Styela clava: one gene and its partners. The protein of the gene in region 3 purifies or fractionates together with the protein of the main gene of each other region. This does not show direct contact. Links are inferred from orthologs where the notes say so. Each region holds a gene or a part of one and is shown on either strand. Other genes may lie near its edges.

What was found.
Region 1: the proteins of cytoplasmic FMR1-interacting protein 2-like (region 3) and actin-binding protein WASF3-like purify together in Drosophila melanogaster (affinity purification with mass spectrometry; 3 studies listed by BioGRID, with this or other methods). This does not show direct contact. The link is inferred for Styela clava from reciprocal best matches to the Drosophila melanogaster genes Cyfip and SCAR.
Region 2: the proteins of cytoplasmic FMR1-interacting protein 2-like (region 3) and putative protein BRICK1-B purify together in Drosophila melanogaster (affinity purification with western blotting; 4 studies listed by BioGRID). This does not show direct contact. The link is inferred for Styela clava from reciprocal best matches to the Drosophila melanogaster genes Cyfip and HSPC300.

What each region holds. Positions count from the first base shown.
Region 1 is NC_135259.1:22,312,754-22,320,597, reverse strand, and holds the start of actin-binding protein WASF3-like, read left to right. Parts: upstream 1-4,781; 5' UTR 4,782-4,902; intron 4,903-5,783; 5' UTR 5,784-5,788; coding exon 5,789-5,894; intron 5,895-7,844. Other genes in the region: uncharacterized protein LOC120337403, read left to right, coding at 1,413-1,510, 1,848-2,823.
Region 2 is NC_135263.1:816,540-824,022, forward strand, and holds putative protein BRICK1-B, read left to right. Parts: upstream 1-5,048; 5' UTR 5,049-5,129; coding exon 5,130-5,192; intron 5,193-5,579; coding exon 5,580-5,762; 3' UTR 5,763-6,928; downstream 6,929-7,483. Other genes in the region: serine racemase-like, read left to right, coding at 1-438; serine racemase-like, read right to left, coding at 7,277-7,483.
Region 3 is NC_135257.1:9,569,009-9,577,116, reverse strand, and holds the start of cytoplasmic FMR1-interacting protein 2-like, read right to left. Parts: upstream 3,037-8,108; 5' UTR 2,961-3,036; coding exon 1-2,960. UniProt on the Drosophila melanogaster protein: Plays a role in guidance and morphology of central and peripheral axons and in synaptic morphology. Also required for formation of cell membrane protrusions and for bristle development.

The DNA of each region.
Region 1 (7,844 bases), on a different chromosome or scaffold from region 3:
GTAGTTTAACACCAGGATAGGATAGGATTTTACATATTTATCCCGGAGGAGAGGAAAGCCGATACAAAGGCTTATCCATATGGCGAACCACGGCCTCTCGTCCGTTTACCATTCCAAGTCGGGTATGGGATTAGTTATGTTGTTTGTTTTCGGAAGCATGGACTTGGTGGTGGAGGAAGCCGTTATCGACCAGCAGTTACGTGAACCACCCATTCAGATATTGGAAATACATGTTGTACATATGGCAGTATGGTGATAAAATAAACAATGATTACAAAACAATGGGAACTTCAACTTGCAAATAAAAGTTTTGCCGGATTGATTTTATATCGTGTAGCGCAGGGGTCGGGAACCTATGGCTCTTTTAGTGACGGCATATGGCTCCCAGAAAAATCTAATATTCTGAGGCTATGCTTACTATTGTTACGAGATTTCAAACTCTTTTATAGCCACATTTGGCAAAAAAATTGCCAATACGTTTGTAAAGGCACGCCCAACGCATGTAAGAGAATTACCAGATACGGTAGGCATTGTGACAAAACTAGGGGATTCTGGAACATATTTTGTGACATCACAAAGCGATAGAGTCGCGGAGCAATCGAGAAAAGCTTTTTGTACATACTGGTTATACAGTATTTGTCATATACAGATCGGACTAGTAAAGCTAGTGTTTGAAATACTACGGGAATGCCTAAATGAAAGAAAGGAAATGAGTATCGTTGATTTCAACTTGTGCTGCATGTGAACAGTCATTCAAGGCCCGCAGCGACAACATGCAGCATCAGAAGTCACTTTTAATGTATATTGACATCATATTATGTGTTGACTTTTGAGTAAAAATTTCAGGTCTGATAAGTTAAGAAATGCATCTATGGCTCGCACCAAATGCAATTGAAAAAATGTACTTTTTATGGCTCTCTCAACCAAAAGGGTTCCCGACCCCTGGTGTAGCCTATGTTTATTTTATTGTGTTCTTTAACTGCTTCTGGTGGACGGCAGGCTCTTCCTGTTTTCAGTACTTGTATGTATTTTAACTTTGTCCGTGAGTTATGCCCGTTCTTCAGGTTCTCTGCATTTTGTTCATTCTTTCATTCTTGTTTTGTTTTATGTCAGGGTGACCAAACTACAAAAAAATAAAATTGATTGATTGATACTCAGTCTTCAAGGGGTTAATCTCATATCTGTCATATTCTGGTACCGGTATTTACCAACTGCTGGTACCTCAGTACAGCGGTACCTGAAAAGTCAGACTGAAGACCCCATATTTCAGTTCAGCGTGTAGCAATCCTTTTTAATTTGTTTGCTTATCAACCGATAATTGTTTAATTTTAGAATTTCAAGTTGGCACTTGGCAAAGTAGATTAAAAACACAATATGAATATATTTTTATCAGATTTAACTAATTATTTAAAATGGCGTCGTCATCTGCCAGTTGGGTTAAATTCTTCAAAGATGCTGGAATTCCAGCTGATCAAAGTGCGAAGTACGCTGTGATGTTTTCAGATCACAGGTAAGATGACCGATCGCCATGTGACCAAAATTGTTGTTTTTTGCTAAAAATATCTTAAGCTCTATGGTAAAACTTTTTTTCCGAGGAATTCAATGATGATGTTTTTAGATTGCGCCTTCTTAGTTTATTGCACAACTTCATTTTAATGTATTTTAACTGAGGGACAACTGTCTGTCCGCTGTCCACTCCATACGCCCTGGAAGAAGTGGTGTCTGTTTATCAGTGAAGTGGAATCCTCTGAAACGAGACAATGTCTCTAGATCTGTAAAGTAATTCTCACACACCCCTATTCTCATTGAATAAATAACCATCACCTATAACTCTTCTATTTTCACAGAATACAGAAAGGAATGCTCGGTGATTTGGATCGCGATATTTTATCCGACATCGGAATAAAAGCTGTCGGGGATAAAATGGCGATTATGAAGCACGCCAAGTTCGTGGATGACCAAACAAAGCGTGACGCTTCTTCGAAGATTCTTGCAGACGGAATTAAGACTCTTGAAAATCGTACGAGTAAGGGATCGTCACCGGCACAAAGAATGATTAACCATAGCATTAATAGCCGTTCACCTTCTGGTAGAAATTCTCCTAAAATTGTTGTCGAAAATGCAGAAAAACCGAAAAATTTTGCTGAAGATTTTGACCCAAGAAAGACGGTGTTTGATAGACTAGGGGTCGATTCACCGAACAAATCGCCTTCCAAAAGTAGCGGGATATTTAAGCGGCTTGGAGGGGAATTACCCAGCGAGGAACTCCCTTACGCTGGCATATTGAAAAAGCCGTCATCGCCTGTGACAACAAAAAAGAAAATTCTCATCGTTAAAAAGGCAAAGTCAACGAGTGTTCTCGATCGGCTTGGAGTGCAAAAGTCCCCTCCCCAAGTTGTTAAAAAACCCGTTACTGTCACCATGGCAAAGAAAGTTGTTTCAATTAAAAAGAAACCTGTTGCCGTAGCAACAACGACATCACCAACCAAAGTTTTAATCAAGAGAAATGTAGAAACGACAAAAACTGGGATTAAAAGGTCATCTAATGTACTTGATCGTCTCGGAGATATCGTTACAAGCACAACGAAGCAAACCGAAGAAGCGACTGAGGAATCTCCAGCTGTTAAAAGAAAATTAATAGTTGTCGGACAAAAGAAAAAACCTGCAACTTTGAAACGCAAATCGACCGGTGACATTCGGGAGAAAATTTCTGCTAAGAAGCCTATTTCAAGTAACACTGTGTCCAGTACTTCTTCTGCTGGGATTTTTAAAGGTGCAGCTCAGGCCAGTTCTAGTGTCTTTGCTCGCCTCGGTGCCAAATGATAGCAGCCACTAGCAAGGATGTCCAAAATAAATAGAATTTTGGAGCTCCAGAAATATGTGCACCAAGATGGCGCACAACCTGAACATAGTATATGTACCAGGTTAGGGTTCAGGTTGTGCGCCATCTTGGTGAACATACTTCAGGAGCGATGAATTTTCGAATCAATTTGGAATTTATTGTGTTCAATATTTTGAATTAATTTTTGAAATATTCAAAATATTTTCATTTTAAATTATTTTTTGAAGATTTGAAGTCACACAGTATCATGAAGTAAACCTTAATATTTCTGAAATTAGAAAACTAGCAAATTACTGTTTTCTGTGGTGTGTTGACCTAGTGGTCGGCAACACAGATTACTTAGCTTGGGTCCAAATTACTTCCCCCCCACCTTACCCAGGGTGTAATAAATTAGGTAGCCAATGCCAAACTGGAAGGAACAAGTCTTTCGAATAGGAGTAACTCCTCTCATATCGTTAAATGTCAATGGCTGCTTGTATAGAGCCTTACAAATGTTCTTACTGGATGGGCTGTGTGGTTTGGCAATGTTTTCTGGTACTGGAGCTTGAATCAAATTTTCAACTTTCCTGTGGTCTTGGATCAAAATTTTTTTGGATTCTGAACATGTTCTGTTGTTGGGACTGGTTTAAAAATTCAAAAGCATGCATTAGTGCCTTCAGAAAATAGGTCGAATGAAATATTCCTGGTTTGGTAAACGGGGTGATGGGAGCTGATTCAGCTGAATAATTTGTAATTTTTGAACTCATTGAAATTTACTGTTTTTTTTGTATTGATCTGATGTTTTTGCAGTAAAATTGTATCATATGTTACAGATTTTATACCAAAAATTCATTTTAAATATTCAAATTGGATTGCAAGATATGATTCAAGGACTATTATTAATATACGATCACTTCTATCCAGCTGGTTAATTTCAACTGGGTATTCCCCCTCCTTTTTTATCCTTCAACCATCTGTTTTATGATATTTTGTATGTTTTTCAATGATAAGGACAATACTATTCCGACCCCTTCAATATGGAAATTCAGTGATGCATATCTGGCCAGAATCTAGAATATCAAAATAGTACTAAGTGCCTTAGGAATTTACTTTAAACGTGCTGTGCACTGCTGTCTGAAACTACTATTTTCATAACTTGAGATAATCAGACTTTTTTAGGAAAAAATCTTTTAAATATTCAGGTAAATCATGATTTATGTCAAATGTTATGAGTCCTATTTTTACTCTTGATAAATTCAATACAAAATTATCAAATAGGATTTCAGAAACCCAAGCTATTTTCAGTCACCTGGTACTGTTCACAGGGTATTTGCACTCCCATAGTATGTGTACCAGGTTAGGGTTAGGCCATGATTTTATTCCGATTTTCCTTATTTTAGTTTTATTACGAGTTCAGGGACTGTCTGTGTTACCCAAGTGAATATATCCCCTGCCCATAGGCTTCAATCCCTTTACGCAACTTGATGTAAAGTGGTCGAACAAAATTAGTTACCTTGATATTGGTACACATACTTCTGGAGCTCCAAATGCTCTCCTTTCATCATACTGTTTTTTTTATTTTTATCCTGAGTATATATTGTACATTGACATGTTCATCCTGACCCTTTCACGAACAAATTAGTGTTGCATGATTGGTCAGATTATTCTCACCTTAATAGAAGGTGCCCATGTTGCATGATTGGTCAGATTATTCTCACCTTAATAGAAGGTGCCCAGTGCTGTAAGGACATGCTTGGGTTAACAATAGTTCAAATTGTAATTCTGGATAAATATAATTTCACATACTGGTTTAGTTTAGATTCAAATGCATCGCAAAGTTTGAAGCGTTTTTTGGTGATTGATAATGTCTCAAATAGCATTTGCATATTATTTTGTATTTAATGCAGAGCTAGAGTGTGTGAAAGTCGAAGACATATTTTTGATTTTACACATAGATTGGTACAAATTTCACACAACTGTTCATGTGCTTTTAATAAACCCTTTTTTATTAAATTTTAGATGTTACTAATTATTTAACATAACTTAGCTAAGATAAAATTCAGAAGTAGGAACAAATACCGGTGAGTTTGTATTTTACTTTATTATTTTAAAGAGCCTACAAAACTGTCGACTCATTGTTACTTATCGATTTTAATCGGTAAGTATGTTGATAGGTATTTGTCTGTATGTCTGTCTGTCTGTTAGATGCACGCGATATCTCACGAAAACGAGATTGAATCTGCTCCAAATTTTGCATGTGCATTCATCATATGTCGGACCAGAAGCCTATTGATTTTGGATGAATTATGTCGTATAATTAGCGAGGTAATAATTAGTGATGGGCATTAGTTGATGGGACACAAGGTGTCACTATGGAGTAAGAGCGCTGTTTTGGGGGATCCCCTAACTTTTGATCGATAAGTCCTCCGTCTCTGACCGATATTCTCGTTTGGTTGTCAGTACTATTCAGCTTCCTTATTTTGCCAATATAGAAACGATAAGAAAACTTTAAAATCTAAGGCTTGGCAGCTGGAGTTACTGGAGATATTAATTGAAAAGGGTATTACACCTAGATAACAGTTAGCAGTCAAATTATTTGTAACCATTTACCATTCAATAGCCATTACCGATTATTTATTCAACATCGGTTAGCCATTACCGTTAACCATGAACCATCCATTCATTTATTGATCAATCGTTTATTTTTTTTATATTGGTTGGTAACCGTTTGTTTAATATTGATTATCCATTTGTATTACCATTTAACTGTTTATTTGTTTATTACCGGTTATTAACCATATATTCAAAATTGATTAATTGCTTATTTATTTAATATTGTTAACCGATTGAATTACCGTTCATCTGTTTATTCATTTTATCACCAGCTAAAAATATATTCAATTACTGGTTAATCCTTCATTTATATTTTAATTCTCTAATTTCTCTTCCATTCTATTCCCAGTTACCATGCCGATCGTTAAACGAACAGTCTCGCCCACAGCTCTGTGTCGGCAGAAAATACCAAGGGGATTGAAGAATGAACTGGAATGTGTGACTAATAATACTTTGGCCGGTGAGTTGGGGGTAGTACATGGTAGTGAAAAAAGTTTTTGTGTTTTTATGGCAGCGGTTCCCAAACTTTTAGTCGTGCAGCGCCAAATAATCACAGAAAAAAACTCACGGCGCACTTCCATAACAAAAATGCTACTCATCAAATAAAACTCAATTTTGTTACAGCTAATTTGTACTTTATGCATTATAAAGTCACCCATGTTTGCTAAACTCGTTTCAGCAGATATATAAACTATGCACCTAGTAACTTTTGGGAACCAATATTTTATAGGATTTGGTTTAATATTCAATCAGCAATACATCTAAAATGATAAGGAAATTTATAAGAGAGAATTTTATCTTGTATTTATATGTAGTATTACTTTTGTCTTTTATAGACTGATATTTATCCCAGCATAACTGTATTTTTTAAATGAAAAGCGTACAATAGGAGGGAATTTTTTTATTTTGAAAAAGGAAATTTCATGTCTTTTTATATGTATTATATCTTTACTGATTTAGTATTATTACAATACATGGACACATTCAATCTGTGCAAAAGCTACAGTGCTGGTCGCCTGTGTCATTAGCTAGGGGTTTATTAAAAATGAAGTGCTTTTATGCTTAGTTTTCATCATAGCAAAGGCTATTAATTTAAACCACCTTTCCATCCCTGGTTCTTATTAATTTTACTACGTCTTGCGAAGGGCTTGTTGAAGGCCCTTTTGTAGATCATTTGTGCTGTAAATTCTCACAGTAGCCTACATATAGTAGAAAAACTTTAAACTTTTAAGCTTTGAATGGTTTGTTATTGGGATGAGAAAGTTCTCAACAAGAAACCGCCTTTGATGTGATAAATTATGTATTTGGAATGTGAAAATTGTCACATAGTCACATAAATAGGATCCTGTTATCAGATCCTTTTGTTTATTATTAAATCCTCTAGATTCGATATTCTGATTTGCACTTATAAATGTAGGGTAACTCATAAGAAAAAACAGAACCCAGGTTATTTGTAATTCTAGAGAGAAAATAACTCTCGTGCAAAGCGTCCTAGATTAATTAAATCTCTTGGTGCAATCCTGCACAAAAAAGAAGTGTTAAATAAACATTCTCCATTTTCATAATAATTACAAGAAGTTTGTTAGTTCTGCCCTGCATAACAAGTTCTAATTTTCTTGGGATGCAATCTGGTGATATTCAGTTCAATTTGATGTTTCGGACACAGGATATTGGTTTTGGATTTGTTTGAATATTAAATTATTTGATTTTGGTGATCTTTGAATTTTCAGAGGCTCGGCAGTTGGTTCATCGTGCTAAGCCTAGGAATACACTTGCAATCCAAGCGTACCTTTGATTACCAGGTTCGCACTTTCAGTCCTTCGGGGAATAATTATATGCAAGATTATAACTACTATAACCGACTTGACGTGTTGTCGTGTTTCACTACATGATTAAGCTGGATATGAAAATCCCGGGAGAAACGATTCATCAATATAAACAACAACAACAGATTTACATGAGATATTGCGCAATAACCCATGCATTATTAAATCACAATCTGGAAACAGACGAAACCCCCTCGTTGGTCAAAAATCTGAATAATTTATATTTTCGCCTGAAACGATACCTGAGGTAGTGATAAATATTTTAAAATCTTCTGAGATAGATTTATGTTTGAACAAGCATGGCCCAAATGTTAAATGAGCGTCTATGTCTGTCCCACACGTTAGTTATCATTTTAAAGTGATCAATATGACCCTTGACCCAGGAAGTGTGGAAGTGAATATTTATGTTTAATTATTTAGTTCCTGCCAGTTGGTTGACGCAGTTAGTATTCATGAAGGTTTCTGGTACGAGGGCTTTGTTAGAACGGCTGATTTACGGTTTGTGAAAAATAGGTGGATTTCTGCTACTGGGATTGCTTCACAGAGATGAATATTATTGTTTTGTTAGCGTTTTGTGATACATC
Region 2 (7,483 bases), on a different chromosome or scaffold from region 3:
GTCGTCCCTGTCGGCGGTGGCGGTATGATAAGTGGTATTGCCATCGCGGCAAAAGCAATAAATCCTGCGGTAAAAATAATCGCCGCAGAACCTGACACCGCTAACGATTGTGAAATTTCGAAGCAGAAAGGTGAATTAACCCAAATGACGGACTATTCTTCAACCGTAGCTGACGGGGCAAGGGTTAATATTGATACATTGACGTGGCCAATCATCCGTGACCTTGTTGATGACGTCATAACCGTTTCTGATGACGAAATTAAATCTGCAACGAGGCAAGTTTGGGAAAGATTGAAATTAGTTATCGAGCCTACTTCAGGTGTGGCCGTGGCTGCTGTGTTGTCGAAAAAGTTTTCTCGCATTGAGGGGAAACATGTTGCTGTTGTGCTTTGTGGAGGAAATATTGATTTGAGTAGTTTTATGTTGTATTGTGTATAATAATAAATGAAATATATATATGATGAAACTTGTGTTTTTTGATTGGTGGATTCCAAATACCATTATTTTCAAACAATTCATGTTCAAGGGAGTTTTCTTGTCAAAGAAAAAGAAAAATCAGTTTTGCGTCTGGCATTATGACCTCCTACTGCTCTGGCCCCGATTGGGAATCGCTGGTTTAAACGATATACAGTGAAATGCAACTAATTTTCAACATTTTGTTGCCAGTAGTTACCAATCGTCCACCGGCCTTCTTGCCATCTGTATTGCAAATGACGCATTTCCGTTCTTAGCGTACGTGCACAATATTAAAAAAAATCGAAAATTTCCCTCGATATTCGTTGTAACTAAAAATGACTCACGAAGATTAAGTTTCCTTTAACATTAACCAAATGCAAAGCAAACTTTTCAGGTGTTCCCCATTTATGAATTTTTAAAGTATAAGCAACCTTATATTACAATATAACTCATAAATTCAAGTCATGCTTCTGCGTGTTTTTAACAGCAATGCTTATTGAATCTGTGCTGAGGTGAATGACAAATTTCCTTAAGGTTTTCATACTATTGCTGAGTGTTTGATATCGTGTCAGTGAAGGATTTATATAGATTTATGTTGTATGACAATTTCGTATTAAGCAGGTGGCGGGCGAGACTCGAGGTGTGAATAAGATAGGACTAATCATCGTGACTTATCATTTTTAAATTACAAAACTGTGCTATTTTGGGTTTCTGGGGAACCACCTTTTTATCTCAGCCTACAGCGCTTCAGAAGTATGTGTACCAATATGGAGGTAACTAATTTTGTTCACCTGCTCTACATCAAGTTGTGTAAAGGGACTGAAACCTATGGACAGGGGGTATGTTCAGTGGGCTAAAACAGACCCGAAATCGTATTTAGAACTAAAATAAGGAAAATCGGAATAAAATTAGGCCCTAACCTGGTACATACTACGGGAATTTATGCTTTCAATCCATATGCAAGAATGCAGTACCAGACCGTAGCCAGTCCAAAATTGGGGGGGGGGGGCAATTTTTTTTCAAAATGATGTAACACGACGCTTAATCGTGCCTTTTGCTCCGAACAAGGTAGATAAACGCGGCCACTTAATTCTAACAATAACTTGAAGAATCTTTTTACAGACTTACTTTGCTTACGCGCACATTCTCATCTATCTCGGTTGGTTCATTTGATGAAAGGATTATTGATGAAAAGTCCGGTTTTCAGCAAATCAATCAAGATTGGTGCAAATTGGTTTTGGAAAGTCGTAAGAATTTATGTCTCAACTATCGCTTAGCCTTACAGTAATGAAGGCACCGGGCAAGACAGCGAAAGATTTATCGCAGCGAGAAGAACAAAAATCATTATGTATTTTTACTCATGTGAGCGCCTTTTTAAACATAAACTGTCATTTTAGGATTTTAAGTTTAATGGGAAAAATCTGAGTGTTGACAAGGGCCGCACTAAACAGGTTGGCGGGCCGGGTTGTGGCCCGCGGGCCGCCTGTTCTTTAGTCATCGGAAAAAGCCGATAGAGCCCAGCTGATGATGACTAAGTCCAATTCTCTTATTCAGAAATTGTAAAAAATTGTCATGTTTTTAATTGAAAAGGTTAAATTACCCTGCAATTCATAGTAAAACTGCTATATTTTTTTTATAGTGCATTGTATCCCAGCATCGAGTCTAAGATTATTTCCTGGAGTGACCGGGTTCCAAATACTGTTAAAAATAAGCGCAAAAATAACTTGTATTGCACGGTATAGCCCGGGCATTAAACTGTCGCGATACATAAAAAAATACACTCAGTCAATTTAGAATAGCAGTATTTTTATTATTTTAAACGAAGTGTTGCATGTACTAATTCAACCCATAAATTTGCATTGATTTTACTGAACTTTATTAACAGTATCAGTGCGGATACGCGTAGGATTGCTGAAAGCGTTTTATGATGAATTAATAATTGAGATGCAATTGTAGACAAGGGAAGAATTGAGACATGTTTGAATTTACTTTAAATTCCTTTTCCAACTTGGAGATTATACGAGTCTTCTAAAAGCAAGGTTGCGAGTCCTCGACTGCAAGTAGAAAGATTATGGTGAGAAATAGTTATGTTACAGATATGCCAGTAAATATCAGTTGACAAGATGCTTATATACATGCTATACGATTTTTGGCGCTCCAGAAGTATTGGCGCACAACTACACATACTATGTTCAGGATTTGCGCCATCTTCGTGCACATACTTCTGGAGCTCCCGATTTTTAACATCCCTCAGCTAGGAGAAAAAACTAATCGGTGCCTTCAAAGACCATATTTAGTCCTTACGAAGACTATCAGATTATACTGTGTGCAACATTTTTATTGCTGTGCCATTTACCCAACTTCAGATATCTAGCTGGTCATACAAGCAATTAGTTTTTCCATAAACACGACGAATTAAAAGTTCTCACAATGCGAAATATTATTTATTCAACACTTTAATAGGCAATTGTTATTTCGAGTTATTGCATAGTTTGTTTGTATCAACTGATAATATAAACTGTGTGATAAAGATTTTAAGCTTGATGGGGATAAATCTGAATGTTGATGAGGGCCACACTAAATGGCTTGACGGGCCAGGTTGTGGCTCGCGGGTCACCTGTTGCCGACTCCTGGATTATCGTTTATGCTTGTCAGGAGCTTTTTAAGAGTGAAGATGTAATGAACGCGCTCTATAACACTTACAATAGAATAGGATTTCTGCTGATTGAGTATCGCATTTTCCCATATGGTTTGTGAATGATGTTTGCGGTTGCCCGTATACCCAGTGGGATTGTAGAATTAGACATGACATGCGCGAGGTATTCTGTTTGTCTTCAGATATGTAATGTAGTATCCATCGTTCAGTCGGATGTCCGAAACCAATTCCCTACTACCAGTGTATTCGTACCAGTGTGAGATTGTCTATATCACGTATTAGTTGATGCTTTTATGTAAATTTAAAGTGAGATTTGAGGTCAACGATTAATGAGGTGGAGTTGTCTAAAATGTGCAATGTATTCAGTATGACCTTCGGACATGTAATGTAGAGTTCTTCGCCATTTCGGGCGATTGTAAGTATACTTTGGCAAGCTCTATGTAGGGCTGGGCATTTTCGAATACCTTGTGATTTCAGAATTGAATCGAATAATATTTTCGAATCGAATCGAAAATACTTGAAAATATATTTGTAAGCGACTCTATTATAGTAATTGGTCCTCTCAACAAATGAATTACTGAAGACATAGAATAAATCCCTCAGATAGATTACTGAGCGTTCACGCAGAATAACTCACTACAGGAAATAGTCATATGTTAGAATTTCGTAGAAAAAATATGACTCCAATGAAAAAAAACTTAGGGAATTCACCTCGACCATTGGCGGAAAGATAAAAACAAGATGGCGGTGATTTGAAGTTTAGCTCGGAACCGATTCGAATAATTTACTATTCGATTCGAAATGCCCAGCCCTAGCTCTATGACGTGATTGTGACATCGTAGTAACGTGATTTTTGGATGGCGTAGTCAGGCGGGGTTAGAATGGACATGTGAAAAAATTCATATGCTATGACCACTAGAAGTACTTGAAGCACGAAACTACGCGAGACCCGCGAGAGTGCCCAAGGCTAACCCAGTATCTTTTGTATCAGGCTGATTTTCTGGAACTTTGTTCAGATTGAAAACGCTTCATAAACGTATGGTAGCTTTTTACATATTAGTGTATGCTTTTATAGAACCTTGGATCAAGTATCAGTGGCTACCTGCCTGTAGATTTGAAGTGAACTCTCAAAATGAGAGATGTGTCTTGTATTCTGTATAACTTCGGGTTATAGAACTAAAAGTCAATATATTTTTATATCAGTCGCGTTCAGAGTGAGGACACCTACAAAACAGAGTGGCTCTGTTCTTTTTTGATATTTGCTCAGAACAACGTCCTACACTGGCAGCCATAGTTGATGTAGTTGGTTTATTTTTGGAATGGTGTTTTTTTACAACAATTAAGTTTAATTAAGTTTTTGATAATGTCTGTAAATGGCAATATGCAGTGGCTGCTTGTTCAGGGTATTGTTCAGTGCGTACAAAATATATTTCTTATCAGATCAGTGAAGGCTTTTCTACAACCTTAGATCACGTATCAGTGGCAGTCAATAAGATAGGGAAAGTCACTGTTTTTTTTTTTGTTTTTTTTCGGTTTGACACCACTCACGCCATATATTATGTCTTGTGCGAGGTGATGGACATGGGGATCGACTGCTAGGATTTACATATTTATTCCGGGGGAGAGGAAAGTCGATAAGACGGCTTGACAATATGGTGAACCAGGGCCTCTCGTCCGGTTACCATTCCATGTCGAGTATGGGATTAGTTTGGTTATGTGAACCACCCTACGGCGGCGAGGAGTCCAGCAAACCTCTCGCACATAACCATCCCGCATGGGATTCGAACCTGCGAACCCACGCAGAGTAATCAGAGGTGCGGTGGTGAGCGTATTCATAGCGCATATTACGATGCGCCACACCGCCGCGCCTGATATTAGTTATTACTAATAGACGTCTGTTCATATCCTAAGATATATATATTGTATTTACAGTATTGCTTTCTAGTAGAAACTAAGTAACAGTATTGCTTGCTAGTCCACAAAATCATACCCGCCAATTCCAACCATCCATCAAACTATGTCGTTGTACGAAGAAAACATTTCGAATGAAACGAAAGAAAGTCGACATCAGAGAATACAGGTAATAAAAGTGGTGGAGGGAGTCATTTTAAACTGTTCCATTATTTGGCAGCTCCGTACTTTGAGTTGTTCTAGTATAAACAAGCTCTGACTAATATGGTCACCTCAATGTCCGCAAAATTTCGCAAAGCTTTGTCATGCGTTTTCGAGCGATAGAAAAGGATTTGCCTCAACCCAGTTTTTTTTAAGTCCAGGTCACCGAGAATATATGAATAAATAAATGATAGCCCTCCAAATTCTCCCATCTATAAGTACTGGAATCTGGTACCAATTGGTAGAGCATAAGGATTTTTTCAAAAAAACAAAAACCCAAACAACTGCAGCAAGAATTCAATGAACTATCCAAAAATACATTCCATGTCCAATAAAATTTTGTTCTTCTTTCCAGGAAGATTGGGATAATCGCGAATACGTTGAAGCAGTAACGAGTAGCATCAGAAAGATGACGACATTTCTAAATTTATTCGATGCTTCGTGCAGGAATCGTCTGACATTTTTGAATCAAAAATTGTCTTCGCTAGAGCGAAAAATTGATTATATCGAAGCAAGAATTGAGAAGAAGGCAACGTGATTTGTGCTTGTTTATTATAATGGACAAAAATGGTGTTTACAACTGCAGGGTAACCCTTTCCACATAAAAGAACAGCGCCCTTCTACAAAAGTGAAGACAATTTATGCACCACTTGAACTTATGTGTGTGAATGATTGTATCCAAAGGTTTTAGTAATCAAGGACGCTTTGAACTAAAGTTATGTTATCTCTAGTGTATGTCCCGAATCACCTCCTCGGTATTGTAGTCCGTTACGTCCCATATTACTGACACATTCGGGTACAGTCATACACAAACAGTTCAAGCGTATTTTATACTTGATGTTATGTTCTCTCCATGATGGTGGTTCTCAAACTTTTTAAGCTAACAGATAGTAAGGCGAAAGTATGTTTTATTTACAAAACACGTTGAAAATACGTATGGATGAAGCGTAGATATCCAAAATAGGGCGAGCAATATCAAATTCAACAAATATTTTTAATTAGCTTTACGCCCCCTTAAAAAATTGTATATGCTACCCTTGTGAGGCGCGCCCCATCGTTTGAGAACGACTTCACTAGAATATGTTCCAAATGACCTGGCTCCTGTTTTTCTTTGGGTCACCATGTACTAAATGGACTTTGTTTGTCATGTTTTTCTCTAATAGCGGACTTATTTTCAAACTCTTCGGAGTCATGTATTAGACTTTCAATCGTCGTAAAAAAAATCTGAAACTGGGTTCTGAAAATTCTATTTCCCAAGCTAGACCGGAGCAGGTAGCGGGAAATAGCTAGCCCGAACACATAGTTTTCAAGTATCCTGAGAGTCTAAAAAGCAAGTGAATGATACAGAAGAATGCTCACATTTAAAAAGGGAGGAAGGGCTCCCTGGATAGGTTCTGATATTCCAGGAATGTTTTTCTCGAATCAGCTCTTATCCGATTCTCGCGGCCACTGAGGATGATGGACTTATATTCGTAAAGATTTGTATTCTGATATTCTACGCTACACAACTTATTACAACATTCGAAGCATTTTTTTCGACGTTTTTTATTTCATATGGGCACCCACTGAGCTTCTTGTAAACCATCTAGCGCTCGACTAATCAAGCAAATAATAATTCAGTCTTTTTTATATTTTGTGAGGTTTTCCTATTTTTCATTATTTTTATTAATATTATTCAGAGAAATAAAGCAATTTGATAATCTAGTTTCTTTGTTGTTTTGAGAAAAGGATAAAACGTCAATAAGAGAAAAGTGTTTTATTTAACAGTATCCTTACACCTATAGTTGAGGTCTCGGGATACAAGCAAACCTAAAAATTATCGCACAATTACTTTAAATATAAAAATAAATAATTATTTGCACCGAATTAGGAAGCCTATGTTGGAAGGAAGATTGGGTCGCGCGTCATGGAATTTTCAAGCAGTATAACCTTATTTTTACACTTATGACGTCAGTTTAACGTAAAAAGTTACGTCAATTGCGCCACATAGTCGGAACGGCGCCTACTTTTTGCTGTTCAGGTCAGAATCATATTCCTAAACTAATTATAATCCTAAGACGAGCAGTTTAATAATTCCGGTAAAATAGCGAAATCTACATTTCCTCCGCATAGAACTACTGTTACATTCTTAGGTTTTGAGTTTGGGAAAAATTTCGACAAACTTTTGTTGAAATTTTCAGAAAGAACAGCGGCCACAGCCACCCCTGCTGTCGGTTCAATAACTAATTTGCATCTTTCCCAGACAAGCAGTGTGGCATG
Region 3 (8,108 bases):
TCTTTAAGTTGATGCTGATAATACTCCAGCACTCCAGGAGATCCATAATCGTATCTTGGCAACTTCAATATTGGAGGCATAACTCCCATCAAAGTTGTAACATACTGTAATATTGTTCCCTGAAGCAGGCCTTTTACAATTTTCAGCAGCTCTTCAATAACCACTGCAATGCCTTGATATCCCAACAAAACGCACATGGTTGTGAAATGTTCTGCTCCAACATATCCTGTATACAAACCAGCCATTTCACGATAAGCAGCATTCAACTGTTTGCTGCCAAAAAGATAGTGATGCCCAGCATTTGGTGGTCTGTCCCTTTGAAGATCTTGGGAAAATGTAATTGGCGTTCGAACGAATCTGTTAGTAGAACCATTGAAGCAATAATTTGGTAGAAAATCATAGTTGAGTTCCCAGAAGACATGGAGAGTGATGCGTCCATACGGAGCCGAAACATTATGATTCGCTTCTCTCACCATTGCATCAAAGCCATCAAGGGTCAAATGCTTGCTCAGAAGCTTATGGGTATGCCTGTTGACATCCAGCAGCATTCGTAATTCCATAATACCTGTAATATCTCCACTTTCAAACTTACTTATTGCGAGATCAATGGATTTATGCAAAGCCACCTGAACACGCTGAGTTATTAATCGATTCAGGTCAATGGATCGTCCAAGAAGTTGGACATGACGTTGCTTGAGAAGAGTCTCATATCTGTTAGCAGGTGGGTATGGTATTTTAGCAGAGCAGTGATCCCGGAAACCAATATTCAATAATTGTGAAGCAGCCAATTGCTTAAAATAAGTGAAAATTTGATCAGAAAGTTTGTAGACAAATTGATCGAAACATAAATTGACTTCGGCTTCTACCTCATCATACAGAAATTGCTTCTTGAATTTTGTCAAGGCATAATAAGCACTGTCATTGTATAAATCTAAAGAATAGAGGACATATTCCATCATTGAAGGTTCTTTTGTTTCCAATATATGATCAGTCAAGATCCAAGGTAAAGACATTTCAATGGGAAATTGAATTCTTTTTCCCATAGTGAGCTCCAAGAAAAATTCTCTGTACCAAAGCTGAGATAAATCACAACACTCAAGAAGAGTTTCACTCAGCCTAAGCAGAGATGAGAAGAAAAATGATTCTTTGTGAAACTGTTCAATTGCTTCAATAGTATGAGAATCAAGAACGGTTCGCAATGCTTTTTTTGTTCCACTTTTTTCAGCGACTAAGGATTCCAGCATTGTACGAACCATGTATAATTGAGTACTTGAAGGTCCAACATTTCTACGAGGTACATCAATATGAAAACCGGTCTTTGGATCTTTTTCTCCTTTCAGGGCAGGATCATTTGGAGGCTCAAATCCTCTTATCCAATCAGCGCATGTTTCTCTAACAGAGCTTACAATGCTCCGAACATGATTCTTTTTCTTTTTTATAGCTTGCCGTAAACATTCTCTTAATCGAAGCTGAACAAAATCTTGCATTTGCGAATAAATATAACTGCGTATGGCATCTGCGAAAACACTTTCCATTCGAACCATCAATACTTGAAGACCTTTTATCATAGCAATGACTTCAACAAGAGCATATTTCTCTTGGCTTGAATAATTATAACGAGTTGCTCTCTCGTACTCCTCTGCCTCATCTTTACACTCAGGATTGGTGTATTTATCAGTCGGATGTACAAGTTTCCAAGAATAGACTTCCATGACATGAGAGCTCCATTTTGAGAGCAATTGTAAACCTCTGAGCGCTAATTTATACAAAACATAATTTTCTTCATCCGTTCGAGGCTGATCTCTCTGCGTCGTAGTAACGACTTCATTGTTGCTGTATTTAGCAAGTTCGCTTGTATATTTTATATGATCCTCACGAATAGCAACAAGCTGTTCTGCCAAGTTGTATTGCGCACTCGAACTTCCAGTGCTTACTGTTGATGAAGCACAAGACCACTTTGATTTATTATCTTCAAAATCGGACATATTTTGTATGTAGCTCGCTAAAGGTATTTGCATGTCACCATAAAGCGGCACAACTTGAAGCTGTTTAAAAAATTTATCTATTTTGGTGAGGTGAAGTTTCTTTTTGTCCTGTAATTTATATATGTTGACATCTTTATGAATATCCCTGTTATCGAGGAGGCACAATCCAAATCCCATAACTTTAAGCAGCATGTGTTTTTCACTTGGGAGAACATAGCGTTTGTTTTCATAATAATTCATACTTATGTTAATAATATCACACAACAGTTCCTCAGAGTTAGGGATGCCAGACAAAGATAGTTTAAGCGTCCCGGTTATTTTATCATGGTTGGCCAAGAACATGGATAAGTTCTGTGACTCTTGGATTGACTGTGGGTCTGACATTTTTTTCAGAAATTGTGCTGCTCTTCTATAAGAAGAGTAATCATTTTTTACACTGCTTTTCATATTTTTGAGGGCATCAAGAACAGCAAACATATTGATAAATTTACCAAGTGTAAGAAGATATGCCTCGGAAACAAAATCTTTTCTTCTTTCTTGATGGCATAAACGCTTTACTTCTGCACAAAATTTTTCTACAGCTCTTTTTTGAAAGAGCATGAAATTCATCAACTTTCTTACTTCAGGCTCCAAAACCTGAACAGTCTTTTCATAAATTTCTACTCGGTTTGCTTGTTCATTGGACCTTACCTGAGGAATAGCGCGCGAGCAACTACGCCATGTATAAAGCATTACTGCATATGTCTCTCCCTCTTCCAACATGGCATTCATATCTGAATGCACAGTAGCCTCTTCAATATATTTTGCAACACCAGTCACAAATGCATTTCTGTCTTCAAAATTAGTGTCAAAGTTGGCTTGATAAAGTAATGTTGACGGCATCGGCTCGATGCATGGTTGCTGATCAGGAAGCTGAAGATCTTCGAGTAAGTCCACATTGGACAAAGCATCTTCAAGAGACACATTAGCTGTCATTTTGTTATAAAATAGGCCTCGAAATACTTCGAAAATTTTCAACCCATCTGCATTAAATATTATTAATAACCACAAGCAGCCTGTAAATTGAAGATTTTCATATTACTGTATTTTCTACAGTTATCATAAGCCAGGCTTTTTTTAGGCAGATAAATGTAAATGCGCCTGTTCATTTATAAAAATCTAGATGAATTCTATTCAAATGTATCGAATATACGGTATTTGAATTGCGTTGAATCATTCATTCATATTATAAATTACTGACGCATTCACCAAATTCATTCTTTCCACACATTTATACAAAAAAGAATAATTGCAGAAAATTTATCAAACACATATTACTAAATTGGGCAAATATGAATTTTCCTTGCTAAATGCTATATCAGTATTAAATATGGGGTTTTAAGACAAAATGGAAAGTTGAAGTTTTATTTGAAAATATTACAAAGATATACCAAAGTGCATAGTTGAATGAATCAATAGTCAGCAAAATTTTCAATAAAAAGTTACAGAAGTTTAAAAATCAAAAATATATTTTCACTCATTTTTTGCGAAGAAGCTTTTCAAGCTTCGCCTTTTTGGGTTGAAGCCCTCGATTTGCTAATTTTAACAAACGCTTTTAGTGGATACTACTCCAGTAATCTGCAAGTGCAGTTTTAATGGCGACTGACTTTTTAACTGCCACAAACCAATGAGCTGCTATTACCGCGGCAGCAAATTGATAACCAATGGCAGGTAAAATTTTGCTCCCATAACCACGGAAGGTGGGCCGTAACGACAGGGCTGTCCCTTATGGTGATAAATATTGGGTGTGTTGGAACATTTTTCCTATGGATACAGTTTTGATGGATTTGGGGTTAGGGTATAAGTAGATATAATTCCTCATGATAAATTAAAATCTGGTGCATTGTTTTGTGAATATACCGTTAATACTGATTACTGGATAGCGCTATAAAACCATGGCGAGAGCTGCCGCGGTTCGTTCGTGGCAGGAGCTGCCATGAAGTGGTAAGAACTGCGCCTCGTAATCTGGGAATCAGATTGATAAACTATTGAGTTGTGTATTAAATTAGTCTTACAACTAATGAAAAGAGTTAGGTCTCACAAATGGGCGGCAACGAACTTGCTTAATGTTGAAAAAGCCAATGGACACCATGTTGTGGCAACTTTGGATAACAGGAATTTTTTTGTGTTGTTGCACCGGATCAAATAAGTCAGCTGTTATAGGGACTATTAGAATAACAGAATAAAACCAAAGGAAGGAATTTGAATGGCCTACCATACGGCCATATGTCAGTACAGCAGTATGTAGTATAGCGAAAGTAGAATGTAAAACTATCTAATGACTGAATGACATAAATTTGGTTGCAAAGACAACGTTACACCATTTTTCTGTTTTTAGAAGATTTCATAGCAATAATCCGATTCGACGCTGTGCAATGCCGGTGCAACCATTTTCTTCTAGCACAGCTTGGAGCTAAACAGTTGGGCATTATGAAGCTCAACAGTCGAAAAACATCAATTTGAAAAAAGAAAGGGACCTTGAAATGAAGTTGAGTCTGCCCTCAATTTCGTTATGTCAGTGTTAAGATCACTTCCTAGCTGAATATGAGTCAATTACCCATACTATTTGCAATTTACACCATTTCTGTTTTCACCCAAGTGAACTGATAGACTGACGAATTGCTAGATCCAGTAATCTGTATATTGCATAACGATATCACCTGGCAACAGCCGCTCATAATTCGGTTTTGAAGTTATAGATTTCACGTTTAATGGTTTTCCTGGACTCATAAAATACATACGCCTAAAAGTAGGAATTAAATACCTGCACCCTAACAGCGGAAACAGTGATAAATGGGTTAAAATACCTATGTATGGCGCAGCAAATAAACAAGGGGCGTGGCGCCACCAAATCTAGAAACGGCATCGCGGGTTTACCCTTTGCAATCGTTTCGTAATATATGAGGTCACCACCGCATGATGTCACTAGCAAGTCATCATCAAAATCAAAGCCTAGGATCAAAATCAAAGTGAATTTGATCAAAATGATGTGAACATATGCTTTTCTTTTGAATTATTTGACTAAATAATTTTTTTTTTATGAGCTGCTAAATTACTTGTTTTATTTTTTAATTTTATAATCAGTTTTAATTTAATTTCACCAACTATTTCATTGCTCTAATAGTTAAATTCGAAATAAAATTTTCAGTGTACTGGCTAACCAACCCGATACCGATATGGACTGGTGACCGGAGGATAGGCCGTGGTTCGCCACGTTGTTGAACCGCCTTATCGGATTTCCCCATAGGAAGAGATATGTTGATCCTACCCTATTAGGCCGCGAGCCGAGGCCCTGAAAAACGCCTAGAAAGTGAGTTTCGTAGCGCACATCAGGTAACTACCTGAAAATGATTTTAAAATGTTCCTTAAAAATTTAGTAACAAATATTGCCTTGTTCCCACTTCCAAAAGTTGCACGTTTTACGGAAAAGACGCTTTTACTACAAGAAATATGTGCTACGATCTGTCCTATATTCTCTACATTTTCGGCACTGAACAATGACTTCTGCATGACGTAACAATTGAATTAAACCAGCTGTTAGCGAGCGGATGAATATTAGTTATTTCTGCTCGACCTTGCGCTGAGTTGGACAGGCTTTCCATAGCCCTGTTTAGTTATTATTAGTTAAGTTATGCTAAGACGTTGTTGAAAAATGTATAAGTAAATTATTAAACACTTGTAGATCCTTACCACGGATATGGGCCGTGAGACGAAACCATGAAAACGCCCAGAAAATGAGTTTCGTAGCGCACATCTGGTAACTAAATAAATTCTTCAGTTTTGTGTGAAAACGAACATAATGAACGCATTACAGCTTGTTCCACAATCCTGGTGCGAAATTGAATATAAGAGGTTCCCGGAAATTCAATAACCATAAGTTTACAACGCATACATAAGAACTATACAATTCGAGAGCCCTACAGCACACTAACACAAATGTATTCCTGTAATGTTTTGCCTGACCAAAATCGGACTTCCTCAGTCAATCATAATTTATTAGGTAGATTACGAAAAATATGGCATACATGTAACCAACAACAAAAAATACTTTAATTGTGTGACAGGAGTCGGGAGTGACCTCGAAAGCAGCGACACCAACAACGCCGATTCACATTTGAGAATAAATTTTATGTAATAACCACAAGCAGTTTACAACAAGAACAGCATAAAAAGCTACATCCATTTTATGGAAGCTATCAAGTATCAAACGTATTTATTTTTAAGCAATGAAGTCACAAATTAACATCGTGAGCACGAAAACACAAATAAATCAGTTATTTCTCACTTAGAAATTTACCGCAAAAGTCAAGAAAATTAAATGAATGTACAATATGTACATAACACAGTGAACAGAAATATTACAACTTACAATTAATCTTTTTTTAGTTTATGTGGTTATGTATTTGAACAAAGGCAATAATATTTCTAGAAACAGGACTACGACACTAACAAATGTCCGAAAAAAAACAAATGTATGATACTTATTAAATCAACTGTAATATCTAATTCACTTTCTTCTGAATTGTTTTCGAAATCCACTATCTCAAAAATCGACTTTTCCTCTATAGGTGTACTGTGATTTCTGCAGTCAATACAAAAACAAAAATCTGTGCAATTTAAGTTGATTTTGGCACACTTTCATAAATTATTTTGACTATTTTTCTTTGCAGTTTGCCAACTCAAGAACTGATTTGAGGGCCACATGCTTCTTCAGTGAATCATTGTTGGGTGGAGAGTATAATCCTTATGTTTGACAGTGTTAAATAGACGTGCCCTGGTACCGTATCATTTACATTCTTCATATCTTCTTCAAATTCCTCAGCTTTATTTATTAATACCTCGTTAACCTCAAAAGATCTTCATAGTCGAGGGAAAAAAATGAATTGAAAATCTCAATGAAGTCTCCAACATGAATTTGATGGGCAGTTCCAATTGCAGAAAAGTGCTAAAGTATTTCAATATGAATAGCCCATCTAAGCTGTTTGCAACTATTATGATTCTCATATACCTTTAAGCTTCAAGACTTCTTGTTTAATCCATTTTATAGCACTGATAGCAGCAGGGATCAGAGCCTGCGTTAGGTCGGATTGGTGGAACATTGCCGTTTTCTTTTGTAGTACAGTATCTAAAATAAGGAAGAAAATAATATTTGGAGCAGCATGATTTTAAAAATACCCCTAAATACTAACTAATACCTTGAATACATAATGCATTTTATCTGATGTACTAAATGAGCGTATATATGCTCATTGCATGTTCTACAGTCCAGCAGTGTTTGCATACCATTACTAGACTATATCTACACTAAATTTTGATATATCACAGTCTGAAATGTCCTATGACAGTATGAGTATGGACTATAGACTATATTTTGAAACATCAACTGTTTGTCTACAACTTCATTTCTCACCTCTCAATCATTTCCAATGCTACCTTTCTTTCCACTCCGGCATAACTTATCATTGCTTCCCAGGTTCTTGTCGACTCTATGAATTTAGATTTAGACCAACCGACATTAGTAAAATTGATTAATTTCTTCTCTTTCACACAACCATGCATTACAGAAACAGCCATTCATTTCTATTTCCAAATATGCTGTGGCCTATATAGTAGTATAAGTCTGCTGAATAGTCAAGAAGAGTCATTAAATTAATCATAAACATTTCATGCAAGCCAGAAAATATCGTTGTTTGTGACATATTACAGTATTATTCTAGGTCTGTAGGTCTAGCCTTCCTTGGAGTTACCGCACCGTACCTATTTAACAACGTCTTATGAGCTAGTGCTCAACTAAAATTGCTATTTATGGCAAGGATATACAAGTGTTTAATATCTTACCTATACTTTTCAACACCTCCTTAGAATAACTGGACTAATATAACCGGTAACTGAAAAAAACTATGGAAAGGCTACCCAACGCAAAAGCGATCAGTTGAGTACATCTGATATTCATCCGACCACTGGGGATCCACCTACAGCTGACTAACTTGACTGTTACGTCGTGCAGAAGTCTGCGTTCATTGGCCCATGATACCGGAAAAGCAGAGAAAATAGGACAGATGGTAACACATATTTATTGTAGTA